Oreochromis niloticus: one gene and its partner. The protein of the gene in region 2 purifies or fractionates together with the protein of the main gene of each other region. This does not show direct contact. Links are inferred from orthologs where the notes say so. Each region holds a gene or a part of one and is shown on either strand. Other genes may lie near its edges.

Region 1 (7,274 bases), on a different chromosome or scaffold from region 2:
TATTGCGACACCACGAAACAAACGATAGCTTAATATGAAACGATAGATGTTTTCATATTGTCATCCGATATATATGGTTATATTGAACAGCCCTAGCATGTATGTAAAATTAATATTACACTCCTCTTTTGTATGCATGTTTCTACTTGGATTTCTACTTTATTATTATAGTCAGCAGCATTTAGAAGTGCTTACATAACTTAAAGGCTTTAAGAATGCCCCGCCCAACATTTGGATCAGATATTCATCTCATCCTGACTCAAAAAGCTGGACTGGATAGTGGTGACAACCTCCTGATACATTTTACATTGTTCTGTGTTTACTACACACTGGTTGCTGCAGAGAGCTATCATAACGTGGAGAATGCCAACAGGAAAGACCTAGCATTTTGGAGACATTGTACTCCTGCTACACAGATTTTCTTTGCATGTTTGGAATAGTTGTTTTTTTGTTTTATTTAAGTGTTTTTAAAATTAAACAGTGGTCAAGTGAGTCAAAGAGACAATGTCAATGATGTATCACTAGCCCACCTAAGGCCCAAGATGACTCCCAGCTGAGGCTAACCAGCTGGCATTAAACACCAATAATAAGAAACTTACAATAACCTACATGCATTTAGAAATACCACACATACAAAGAGCTCAAAGAGTGACCTTTCTTTAAAGAACAAAAAGGCACAAGTTCTCACTTATTACTATTTTAACTGTTCAACTTATATCCATCCAATGATGTCTGTTAATATAACAGACATCATTGAAAAATAAACTCCCCAGTCTCTTTCTCATCACCAACTGGGTATGCAGACGTGCATCTAGGCTAACATGACTCTACTACTTAATCTGTTCCTCATAATTAGAACTAGGCAATAAAACCAATTAATTATTATGCAAAAACTTTTTAATAGCATTATAAAACATGGTCATTATAAAGGTGACAGCTTATTCCATCCACGTTTTGACAGACAACATGAAAAGGCAATGACAATGACTGAAGTGCTGCTATTGGCTGGAATTAAACTAAGCTGCAAATTCCTGGTTTTTCCCATGTTAAGAATGTGTGTAGTACAAATACTCTGAAGGAAATGCTCTTATTTGTACACGTTTTTCAGTTTCTGTTGTTAAACAACTTCAGTAACATGCAATAGAAATATGAAAAAGTGACAAACAATACCCATCAAGACCAATGTAAATACCCTTTATTTTCAAGCCATCTTTCAGTCCACTTCTCTTCAATGCTAGAGCCCTGACTTAATGATATGATTATGATGTCTGATTAAATCCCTGTGAAAATGTGTTAAAGTCTTAGCTTTTCTGTGATTTCATCTATATTCACATAAGTTTGAAGTTACATTAAACTAAAGCTTCTTGTTAGCAACTATTCTGAATATTTGTTGTTGACACTCTTGAGATGTGTGCCAGTTCCGTACATTACTGTACATTACTGAGAGGTATTAATCCATTCCCATTTCTTTTTATTTTGCTTTCAAGGAGGTAAACCTTCTCTTAATTTTTAAACCAGCTTTGAGCTGTACTTCTCCAGATAAATCGCTTAGCAAAGACCTCATTTAAAATTGTATGCATCTTTAAACACTTTGTGACTAGCAGCCTCTCATCATTTGCCCTATTCATTGATTTCCCACCTAAAAGTTCTTCTAATTACCAGTTCTGTACCACAGACAACCTATAATCACAAGCTCACCCACTGTACAAAGCACCTTCCTACTTATATTCAGAACAGTGACTTGTTACTAAGAGACTGTAGCAACTGCGTGTGATAAACATACAGGATACCGGCTGCTGTGAATCCCAAACTACTTTGGCAAATCAAGTGTGGCTAGACATCTGGATGCCGATTATATTTCTGCTATTATGAATTTTGTGTTAACTCAGCAATGCAGCTGACACATCAACTACACCACACTCACACTATAAAACGCCTGTATTTTGATAAAACTATCACTCCCAAAAACAGTTTAACATACGCCAGAGACCGAAAATAATAAAAATACCGTAGGCACATAAACATTACGAGCCCGTAATAAAATCAATCTAAATACCAACTCTACCTACATTTCAGGCCTATGTAGTGCAACTATACACATGCAATAAGATATCACATTTTAGTTGGGTGGTAATACATAATATTCACCCAGAATCACCTGGTTCATCTGGGCTTGACTATCAGTTCCGAACCAACAGACTGAGCGGTTTAAAAAAATATTATTTCCTTAAGCATGTGTAAAGGCAGTCATTCAACGCAATCGTTATTGGTTGTATTTCATTTCAGCTAACCAACATTCGAACGCAAAGTTAACATTTCTCAAAAACACAACGGCCCAGTTAGATACGGTTAGCTTTCATTTCGGCTAAACACGAGTCAAAATAGTAGCCCTTTTTAATTCACGTCATTACCCTTTCGTTTACATCCTAAGGCCCAAACCTATCTACCACTAACGGTGCAGGCGTTAAAGACAACACACCGGTACAAGGAACGTCACTAGCTATTGTTAGCTAACCCAGTACTATCGAACTCAACCAGTTACCTAATATATGTCACATATGAGGGTAATATTAACTGGCTGACAGGTTTGACAAAAAAATAAAAGTATGATTCCGAGGTACCTTAAAATAATGTGCCATGTTAACGTTAGCCTCCTCTTAGCTTGAAAAACCACAGTCTGACAGCGCAGTGATAAGATGGCCAAGTATGCTCTTTGCTAGCCAGCTAACGTTAGCCGGCTATCTAAAGACTGCTGGCTAATCGTCTCTTCAGCACCAAGTGTATGAGCTTGCAATTGTACCTACCAATAGACAAGGGTAAACACCAACTCTCCAGCATGTAGCTTATCTTAACATTAGCGTCGGACCTTAGCGATACTAAGACAGAGCTAAGATTAAATTTTGGTAAGGAAAATAAAGCCTTTAAAACTGTTTCTAACAGGCGCGAAAATGTAGATCTTCGGAGGGCACTTTTCAAGATGGCGGTTCCGTCAACTTCATCGACCCCTTCCCCCACTCCAGCTGCAATGTTTGTCAATCAAACGATTTCCGCAAAACTATTGGTTGTGAATCCCGTCGCTCAAACAAGGCCGTAAGCTTTTATTGGATATAGTGCGTGTCTCGTCAAGACGTCATTTACACAGAGTATGTGTATAGTGTCCCGGAAGAACGGGGTTTATACTGTTTATCGAATTTTAAGCAAAACAGTTAGACTCATGTGGTAACACAACAAATTGAAGGTTTAATGTAGTGTAATTCATCTAATTGATAACTATATTTGGGTAAACTGCGGGTAATATAAAACCTTCACCCCGCACGCACGTTTGCTTTGAATTTTAAATCGAGCACACTAAGTAGCGTACAAGCACGCCCACGTCTCGTTCAAGAAACGCCCAGTTGAGGGCGGTAGTGTAAAGAGCGCAGACCCTCGTTACCTAAAGCGAACGTGTGTTTATCTTATCTTTTAGGTATGTGTTAGTGTAATTTTATTTACATGGCGACAGTTAACGACAACAGTAACCTCAAAAACGCTTTATAATGTCAGTTTAAATGGTATATCAGAGAATGACATATGAGCAGCACTTGATAATGTGCTATTATCATGTGTTATTAAATTGAATTATCAGTGAAAAGAAGATTCTGCTCAACTTTCAGTTCACTGGACTAGCTACAGGAGAGAGCACCGAACTTCTCAAGTTGCTTGTTGCTGCCACATTAGTGAGGACTGTGGAACAGCTCAGAGTCAGTTTGATACTGATCAAACTTTTGCAGCTGATCAAACACACAAACCCACACATGTGCAATAAGACTGCTATATGTGCAATTCTTCTTCTGACGAAGTTGTGTTTTTGTATTTTCCTACTCAGTTGTATATAGTATTTGTATTTGTATTTTATTCTATTGTATATATTATTCTATTCTATTTTATTCTGTTGTACATAGTATTTTATTTTATTTTATTTTATTTTATTTTATTGCATTCCAGTGTTTTCTAATTTCTGCTACATAACTTTGCACTTTTGCTGTAACAAAACAAATTTCCCACCTGTGGGACTAATAAAGGCCATCTTATCTTATCTTATCTTATCTTATCTTATATTGAATTCATTTTTTTCTCACGTTTGCACTGACTTGCTCACTATCGCTCAGTTTACCGGTTGGAAAATCTTGCACACATACACCGTTTGTCTTTTTAAAGGATGATCGAAACTTTTGGGCTTTCTAAAATGGCATCAGTGATACATCAACTTAAAATAAAATGTATGTGGAATTCATTCTCAGTTGTTTTGTGGCTTCAAAAAGGGTTATATTATTAAAGCACTGCAAATTCCTCAAGAATAATTCATAATAAATATCACTGGTTCAAATTTGATTTTCACTTCTTTCTTTTTCTTCTTTTTACTGAAACCTCACTAACTATGGGGACATCCAACAGCGTCGTTGATGGCTTACTTTATGTTGCAATTAATTGCAACAATTTTGAGCCAGCACACTGAGCTTCGATTTGATGAAAGAATAGTTACTGAAAGATGTTTCAGTCTCACCAACCCGCATTTCTCTAACGTGTGCCGCACTTCACAGTTTCACTTCAAGCTGAAGGCCTCCAATACTGCTTTTAGAAACTCTGATGAACACCACAAGCAGCCCGCAGTCTGAGAGAGGAGCGTTCTTTTACAGTCGTTAGACTATGCATATATAGTGATGTCTAATATTGCTCTTAACGTTTCTTGTGATCCACATCCTCACTTGTTTTTTCCATTTACAAAAATTTAATCACAAATTTTATTTCTCCCGTCTTTTCTTGGGACTCTAAACGCAGCACTTGGCTGGCACAAATCCCCGTTCGCTAATCGCTTCTCATCAGATCTTCGGGATTCAGACGTCATGCTTTCATCCGTCAGAGGTAACGGAGCATAACGTGAATCCGCAGTCCAGGGAACAAACATACAGACATCAGCAGCAGCAGCAGCTAGCTCAGTGATGATGAACATGGATTTAAGTGCCGTTATAGAGGAGATGGAGACGGGCGACCAAGACTCGGCTCTGACGGCTTTACAGAGCTACAACAAGCAGGTAAACACCAGCCCTGCAACATCGGGAGGAATCAGTGCGTTGTAACACAGCTGTTTGAGTTTATGAAATGCTTTCCATTCAGATGATGATCCTGAAATAATTTCCAAATCAGAACTGTTTTCAAAAGTAGAGCCTTTAATATATTAAACGGGGTTTAAAGCTGCATTGTACACCTTATAAATAGCCTATACGATATTGTGTATTGAGCCACCCCTTCTTCTTCTTCATGTTTTGCTTTCACGGAGCCAGATTTCCTCGTAATTTTTAAAGGGATATTAAGCAACAGTTCTCAAGGAGTTCTCGGGGTCTTTCAAAGTTCTTCTTTGGACATTCGCTGCTTTTCACTCATTTTCAGCCCAGTCCTTGTACCTGACAGATTTTTGACCTGACAGCAATGTGTTTTTGATGGTTAAGCAACTGAGCACTGACCTATGAGTCATTCAAGCTTAAAAAACATCTAACTAAAGGGATGAACCAGTACTGTGTCTGGAATTAAAGAGAACTTAAAGATCCAAATATAAATTGTGTCGCTAGGAACTTTGTTACAAATAACACATTCCCGTTTCTTTAGCCGATTCTATAAACATGACACATACCTGAGAGATGCATCTGACCCTTGATCCATCTACTGTTCACCAAAGAAATGGTCTCAGTGGAAAGGTGGCTGTCAACAACGCATTCTTACACCAAACTACACAAAAACTGGTGTGAAAATCAGTAGCAACAGGTCTTATTGAGTGATGAATCCAAAGTAGATATCTTTGGTTCCAATCATTGCCAGTGTGTATGGAGGATGTCAGGGCTGCAACAAGGGTACAGTGAGTGTCTATAGTCACTGGTAAAATATGGAGGAGGCATGTCATGATTTGGGGCTCATTTCAGCCAGTGGTGCTGGAGATCTTGTCAAAATTCATGTAATTATGAATGCAAAAAATCCACAGTGCAATACCATCTGGAAAGTGTGCGATAGTGGCTTAATTTTTCACTTTTTCAATGATAAAGCGAATATGCTGACAATGCAGTAAAGGCATACCTGGATAGAAGACACACTGAAATGCCGTCACAAATTTCACTGGATGTGGATTGGCCTCCCAGGAGCCTGGACCTCAACATTATTCAAGTATTGCTGGATCTGCTGTTGGTGCTGGGAAATTGGTAGAACCACCCATATCATAAATTACCTAAATGACTTAATAAATAATAAATGAATATTAGATAGGATAAAACATGCTTTATTTATCCCAAAGTTGAGACATTCATTGCACCAAAATAATAATTTTAATAATAATAATGATGTGGCATAAGTTGACAGTAAGTGTAATTTATTTAGCTGCCTATTAATTCCCTCTTTACCCTTTGAACTTCTGTGGTAGTTTAGTTCCAAGTATTATTATGTGATCACCAACATGCAAAGAGTTGAGCCTGACACAGTCTGAATTGCAGGCAAGTCAGTTTCATAATGTGGTAGAAAATCAGAAAGAAATGTAGAAAGAAAAGAGAGAAATATTTGTTTTTGAAAATAATTATTTTTAATTAATGCGAGCCACTGATTGTAAAAATAGAAATGGGAAATGCAAGTTAGTTTTGTCACAAATATCTACATCCATTGCATCCATTTTCTGCCACTAATCCAGGTTTGTGTCACTAGGCCAGAAAAAAAAGCCCAGACGTCCCTCTCCTCAGCCAGCCACAGTTTATCCAGGGGGACACCAAAGCCTTCCTTAGCCAGTCAAGACATATAATCTCCCCAACATTTCCAGGGCCTTTGTTCTGAGATTAAATCCTCATTTTCTTGGAGAATCTGACATATACATATCTCGTAACTCAGGCCATCTAGAGAGGTTTCTTTATTTCACTGTGCTCTTTCAGTTTTTATAACATGTGTGATTTCCTTGTAACTCTGATACACCTTGGGAAGGAGTCAGTGTCAGGACACTGAAGAGTAATGGGAAAGAGCGCTGTGGGAGTTTTTAAATTAATGTAATTAATGGATTCATCGCTTAGATACAGAGAAAAAAAAGAGGACAGAGAAGCAGAAGCAGTTACTCGAAGATAATGAGCTCACGTTTAAGATCAGTGCTGAGGTACATCCAGTAAAATGTCAAAGATTTCAGCTGCAATGTTTAGTGATATTACAGATATTTTATTTCTATTTTAAATTCAAGCTTATCATAACACATTATACTACTTCCCTTAAACCAT
Region 2 (7,084 bases):
GCATCCGACACAGCGACGCCTTCGCCCTGGTGTACGCGGCAGACGAGCCTGGCTCCTTCGAGGAGGTGCGTCGACTGCGCGCCGAGATTCTGGAGCTGCGCGGCGGCGGCAGGAGCGCGCCCATCACCGTGGTCCGCAGCAAAGCGGATCTGACCGAGAGCGAAGGTCGAGCGCCGGTTGCCGGTGACGCCATGGCCACAGTGGAGGCTGAGTGGGGCGCAGACTTCGTGGAGGCGTCCGCGAGCACGGGCAGAAACGCGGTCGGGGTGTTTAGCTCGCTGCTGCAACAGGTGAACCTGCCGGCACAACTGAGCCCCGCGGCGTGGACACGCAGAGACACCGTGCCTAGGCCCCGAGCTAGGAAGAGACCCTCGCTGAAGAAGCACCACAGCTGTGTTCTGTCGTAGAAACAGCTGCAGCTGGACTGCGCCTGCTCAGTTTCACACCTGTTCATGGGTGAAGGCTCCTCGGGTCTTTAATGTGTCTGAAAGCCACGGGGCCTGTAATACTCATAGTTTACGGGCAGCAAACGGGATGATGCACTTTATTTGAGTCCTATTTTGTGTGTACATTTTTATATGGTGTCAGTAAAATAACTTTGTTCTAAAATGTGTCCGGTGCTTCATTTGTAAACTTTCCACTGGTCTTGGCACATCTGTAATAAGTCTGTCCATGCGTGGATCATAAAGTTAAACACCACTGTGCACAAATGTCTGATGGGCCCTAGAGCTTTTTTCTTTCTTCGATAATCAGAATCATACAGGATTGTGATGGTTCACATTCATACAGGAATCACACACTGGCGATGGCACCAGTGTGTGAATGTGTGTGTGAATGGGTGGATTACTGGATGTGTAAAGCGCTTTGGGGTCCTTAGGGACTAGTAAAGCGCTATACAAATACAGGCCATTTACCATTTTACCATTTAAAGTAACCATCAAAGGGAACGTTTTAGTTTTAAATATATAATGAAAATCCTGACTTTTTGCACACACACATGTTCTTTTTCTCCTCTTATTCCCTTTGTCTGTTTGGTGGTCTCCTCTTTTTCCTCCTTTCAGCACTACTACAGTCCCGCTCCCGGATGAGTGTTGAAACAGTAGAGTAGAGCCCAGAGAGCTTTAATGAGAAAAAACACTTTTGTGAGGTCCCCACTTAGAAAATTAGTAAACTTTTTTTTTGTCAATAAATAAGTGAATGAATAAATTAATGGATAAATGATCTTGTGAAGGCAGCCTCGCTCCTTAATTAAAATTAGAAAAAGGCAGGTCAAATACAAAATAAAACTACTGGATTTTACCAGTTATAATTAAAAAGAATATGTATATCTATGTTTTGTTAAAATAGGAGTAAAGTTTGAGATGATACAGTTCTGGTCTTTTTTTTTCTTTTTTTTCATTTCATCTTCTCTTGGATGGGCCCCCAAATATACACGGGCCCTGCGGACGTGCCCAGAATAGCAATTGGCAATTGGTCTGCTGATGCTGTTGTGATATGGTTTGATCTACTTTTTTAGAGAAAATGGACACTGAAAATCAGTTACAAATTACTGTGACTATTCAAATTTATCCTCTGAGAAAATATTTCTGATGGGAGTCTCTTCCATTTATTCCCAACTTCCCGGCATTCCAAGCTTTCCAAGATTTACATCTTAAAATTGTTCCTCTGAGTTATTAAATTGATGTACAAAGCCGATGCGCATATTTTTTCTTTTTCTGTAATAATGAACAACAACTGCCATTTTTGGCTTAGCGTGAGATGGTGCATCATAAAAATAGCTCCTTTCTTTGCTTGAAACTGTGTCGTGACGTTTTAGACACACACACAGACACTTATATGAAGTAGAACAAAGGGGCTAAGCAAACACACTGGTCTCATCATCTGTCCTCTCTTCATCCACTTGTTCTCCTCTTATTTTCCTCTCTTTATCACCATGTCAGTTGTATAATCTGTTGCTAAGCAGATATTAATTGTGTCTGCCACAAAAGCATTAATATGAATGAGGAGCAGAGGCCCATATAGCACACAAGGGCTAAAGAACAGAGGCTCCTGACAAGGATGATTCTGCAGCATTACACATCAAAAATTTCACACTATTGGAGTAAAAGCTTTTGTTTATCTTTTACCAAGAAGAGTGAACAACAGGAAAATTAAAGTTTGAATTACTTTATTTGTCAGCTGCACGTGCGCAGAATAAAAGAACACCTGTGCTCTTGGACAGTCTTCTCAGTAATTTAGATAAGGATCAGATCAATAAAAAAGAAAACCAATATACACATCTTATAAAACAAGATGATAAAAATACAGAATAAATAAAAGCACAATGATTCAAAATACATATAAACAGATGGGTGACAATGATGTGATTAAGAGAAATCTCTGAAACATGCCATGTGTGTTTGTCTTGGATGAAGATGAATCCCATTATTTTCATACTTGAGAAACAACTGAGTGCACTATGGACGGAGGCTGTGATGCTAGAAGAGACTATTTCCATCACAACAGAAATGTTTCATCAGGCCTGAGATGAACACTCATGACAGCTAAGCATAGATTTACAGTAACCTTTCTGGGCGAACAGAAACACACACACACACACACACACACACACACACACACACACACACACACACACACACACAGGATAAGTGATCCACCAGTGCACCTCACTGTAGGGGTGGAGGGTTCAGAGAATATTACAGCACTATATATAACGTTTATCAGCTTTTGTAACAATTAAGGTTTTTGTAAAGCCAACATACCTGTTTTTCTTATTTTTATTTTTTTTATTGAGAGTGATAATGATTGTCATTTACCAGAACTAGCATTAGTGGTAATTGTAGAAGCAGCAGGCTAGAAGTAAAAGGCATTACAGGCAATGACGCAGAGCAAGGCTGTAGCCATGGAGTCAAGACTGGGGTGAAGCAAAGGCCTGGGTGGTTGGTTGATCATGACGTACAAGGTGGACCATGTTTGCCACAAATTTTGTTTCCACTCCACACAATTCTGGATAATTCTTCTTTCCATAGTTACAATTTCAGTGAAAAATTATTTACATTGCCTTTTTCATGAATGCTCTGCCTGAAGTTAAGTCTAGTTGGTGTTGCAATGACAATCCCATCAATAATTGTGTGGAACCATAATATATCCTGAATGTACACAAAAGTTTTAATGAAACTAATGAAACACAGACATTGCACTGACTAACACTCATCATACTTGATCCAGAAAAGGTTTTAATGGAAATATGGTAACACTTTTTGAACAATCCATTCAAAGAAATTCAGTCCTTTGGCCCACTGTATAACTACAGCCTTCAACTACAGCAATCTGTTATGGTATTGATATCAACATATTTTTGCTTTTCAACATATTTTAATATTGGGACCGTATAAAGTTATAGCATTCGGGAAGTTATTGGATAGGATATAGGCGTGGCAGTGCCCCCTACTGGCTAAAAACAGTAATAAAAATAGGTTGTGTGTTTTACATAAATGTACAGTCTACATGTTGTAGCTGGTTAGAGTTAATTAAACTGGACAACCTCACGACTGATAATTACGAAAAGTAGTATTACAAGAGTAATAACGAAACAATTCTTACCGAAAACTAGTGAGGTCAGCGTATAAATAAGCAAAGGTTATTGCAGTGAAGTAAATCTACAAATTATACTGAGTCTCATATAAGTTAGCCTATAGACTGCTACCTCGACTAAACTAAATCGGTTACAACAATCCACGATGACGACTATTTATTCAGGGGTTTTAGTTAAAAAAAAGAAGAAGAAAAAGAAAACAATCAAATGACCATTAAATTCACGTTATCTACTTGGGTAAAAAAAAAAAAAGAAGAAGAAGAAAGAAAAAAAACGGACGTATGTCACGATTAAAGCCCACCCCGACTACATTTCCCATCAGTACTCGCTTAAAGGAAACAATAAGAAACCAACAACAGGGATTCAGCCAATAACAATGCAGAATGTGACGTACTCATTTAGTTATTGGCTATTTTTGCCTTAATCTCCCATGATGCTTTGCTGCAATACCTTAGAATTCAAATCGAGCGGACCAATCACAGAGCACCGTAACGACCGAGGCAGCATTTTAAACTTTTAGGAGAAACTGTTGTCAAAAGGCAGGACGGGTTAACGCTGTAGCCATCGACGGACAACTCTGGCGATTACTTTATTGAATATTTTCGTTTTTCAAAAAAGATTTATAGTCTAGTTGCACTGCGTTTTAATTGTCAATGCAATGTTTAAGTAAAAAAAGGCGTCTAAAGTGTATTAGAGCTAGTTTTTATTTAAATCCAGAAGTGCAGGGAGCACGCTAGCTTCCAAGGCCAAACTAACGTCAGTTAAGGTAGGGTTAACAATACTCTCTTTCTTGGGGTTTATCATTAATACCTCGATTGCGAAGGGGCTTTAAAACGTTTCTTTTTACTCCCGGCTAAGTGCACTTTAATCCAAAATGAGCGCTGGTGTTGCAAAGCCGGCGAACCCGATGCCGCACGTCGACCCAAAATCGGCCACTCTAAAAGAAATCCCTGATGTTCTGGTCGACCCACGCACCATGAGACGATACACGAGGGGGAGATTCCTCGGGAAAGGTGGATTTGCAAAATGCTACGAAATCACAGACGTGGAGACAAAGCAGGTTTTCGCCGGAAAGATCGTGCCCAAATCGCTGATCCTGAAGCAGCACCAGAGGGAGAAGATGACTTCGGAAATCTCCATTCACCAAAGCCTCAACCACCCCAACGTCGTGGGCTTCCACGGGTTCTTCGAGGACGATGATTTTGTGTTTGTCGTCCTGGAAATCTGCAGGAGAAGGGTGAGTGCAGAGAAAGTGTCCTTTCTGTTAACTGTGGACGGCCAACGGTTACCCTGGCGGTCTCTTCCCATGGCCTTCCCGTCACAGTGCAGGAAGCTTGGCCTGATTAAAACCACAGGAGCTCTGAACATAATTCAAATGAGCCACTATTCCTAAACTCAGTATTTTGATGGCATTAGTACTTTTTTAAAATCTTTTCTTTCCACACTGACATGGTTACCGTCAGATGTACTTGATTTTTGTTAAAAATGTGCCTCAGTACTGCCTCTCTGCTGCTTTACTGTCTCAGTGCCCCAGTTTCAAATCATTTTCTTCTCCACTTCAGTCCCTGCTGGAGTTGCACAAGCGTCGTAAGGCTGTCACAGAGCCCGAGGCCCGATACTACATGACTCAGCTGCTCAAGGGTGTCCAGTACCTGCACAACAACAAAGTGATCCACAGAGACCTGAAACTGGGCAACATCTTCCTCAACGACGACATGGACGTCAAGATAGGTAATTTGCTCAGCTCAGAATGATGGCAGGGGCTATAAATGTCAACTGGATATATTAGCAACCTCAAACTAACCTGCTGGTTTTACTAGAAAAGGCACACCCAGGTCCTTGCGTCAGTAATTTCTCATACTTCAAGAATGAACTTTTGCACACAAGTGTGCCTCTTTACAGTTATGTCCCCCTTTTTTCTTTTAAAACAGGGGATTTTGGCCTTGCCACAAAGATTGAGTTTGATGGTGAGCGGAAGAAGACCTTGTGTGGAACACCTAACTACATAGCTCCTGAAGTGCTCTGCAAGAAAGGCCACAGCTATGAAGTGGATGTCTGGTCACTTGGGTGTATATTGTAAGTCTAAATACACAAGCACACCTGGAAACGGAGGTGTTACGGCTGATGCCAATGCCAAGCTTTGCACATCTGCTCATGTTTAATTAGGGTTTTTTGTCTTTTTACAAAATGCAGCCCTATGAGTCCTAATGGTTTTATATTTTACCCCAAGAAATACTTCTAATGATGTATTAGAAAGTTAAAAGTTGTTTAAAAAACAAAAATCTGCACAGTCACTTTAACCTCCTTCTTGTCTGAATTCTCAGGTACACTTTGTTGGTGGGCAAGCCTCCATTTGAGACCTCCTGTCTGAAGGAGACCTACAACCGCATCAAGAAAAACAACTACACCATCCCCTGGGTGAGGCGGTTTAACACGATGCTCCTTTTTAAAGAAAAAAAAGTTTGTATACAAAGATGCTTTTTTTTGTTTAAGTCGTATCAACTTAAACGGCAATTGTCTTCGTGCAGCACATCAACCCAGCAGCGACCGCCCTCATCAAAAGGATGCTGCATGCCGATCCCACCCAGAGGCCCACCATTGCTGAGCTGCAAGCGGATGAGTTCATCACGTCCGGCTACATCCCCTTGCGCCTGCCCACGACTTGTCTCACGGTGCCCCCGCGGTTCTCTATTGCCCCTTCCACAAGTACCGAGCTCAGCCAGAGGCGCCCGTTGACAGCTATAAATAACAAAGGTAATCCTCCCAGCAGGACTAGAGTTGAAAGAAGCCCCAACTCTTCAGATGTTTAAAGCAAGGCTGAAATATTGGAGTTGAATTATTTTAGTGTTTGCAGGAATGTTAATGATACGGGTTTGTGTTTCCAGTAGGGACAGAGAAGGTGGAGATGAAGGACGAGCCTGCACCACGGTGAGATGTTTGTCCCACTTGAAATAATGGAAATATTTATAAAGGACAGGTTTGCTTTCTGTGACACATTTATGTATTTGGATGTTTTGACTGGTGTAATCTGCGTGTAGGGAGGTTGAACCGTCGGAGAACCACCTCAGAGACATGCTGCAGCAGCTCAACACCATCATTGCTGCCAAGCCTTCTGAGAAGGCAGTCGTCCGCCAAGGTGAGCGCTGACTTTTTATGACTGTGTTGTACATTTTATTAAGCTGGAAAATCTATGTGTCTGTGTCAGTGCTTCATACAGAGATGTTAATTCTTTTAATAAACAGAGGAGGCAGAGGATCCTGCATGCATCCCCATCTTCTGGATCAGCAAATGGGTGGACTACTCTGATAAATATGGACTGGGTAAGTATTAAACTTAGAGTCCACATCCATCCAGTTAGCTACACTTGAACGTTAAAAAAACAAAATAAAGGAAACACAACTGTGATATTGGCTCATTTATGAAGTTGGATCGATCAAGTATTTGTATTTTGGGGTCTAATAGTGAACTCTACAGAGAATTTATAATTTC

What was found.
Region 1: the proteins of plk1 (region 2) and ppp6r3 purify together in Homo sapiens (affinity purification with mass spectrometry; 3 studies listed by BioGRID and IntAct, with this or other methods). This does not show direct contact. The link is inferred for Oreochromis niloticus from reciprocal best matches to the Homo sapiens genes PLK1 and PPP6R3.

The regions. Positions count from the first base shown.
Region 1 is NC_031972.2:39,401,045-39,408,318, forward strand, and holds the start of ppp6r3 (serine/threonine-protein phosphatase 6 regulatory subunit 3), read right to left. Parts: upstream 3,017-7,274; 5' UTR 2,805-3,016; intron 2,754-2,804; exon of another isoform or gene 2,622-2,753; intron 1-2,621. Other genes in the region: ric8a (chaperone Ric-8A), read left to right, coding at 4,980-5,072.
Region 2 is NC_031971.2:12,089,828-12,096,911, forward strand, and holds the start of plk1 (serine/threonine-protein kinase PLK1), read left to right. Parts: upstream 1-4,064; 5' UTR 4,065-4,361; intron 4,362-4,453; 5' UTR 4,454-4,469; coding exon 4,470-4,832; intron 4,833-5,157; coding exon 5,158-5,326; intron 5,327-5,526; coding exon 5,527-5,671; intron 5,672-5,919; coding exon 5,920-6,013; intron 6,014-6,123; coding exon 6,124-6,349; intron 6,350-6,480; coding exon 6,481-6,523; intron 6,524-6,633; coding exon 6,634-6,731; intron 6,732-6,837; coding exon 6,838-6,915; intron 6,916-7,084. Other genes in the region: GTP-binding protein Rhes-like, read left to right, coding at 1-407. UniProt on the Homo sapiens protein: Serine/threonine-protein kinase that performs several important functions throughout M phase of the cell cycle, including the regulation of centrosome maturation and spindle assembly, the removal of cohesins from chromosome arms, the inactivation of anaphase-promoting complex/cyclosome (APC/C) inhibitors, and the regulation of mitotic exit and cytokinesis.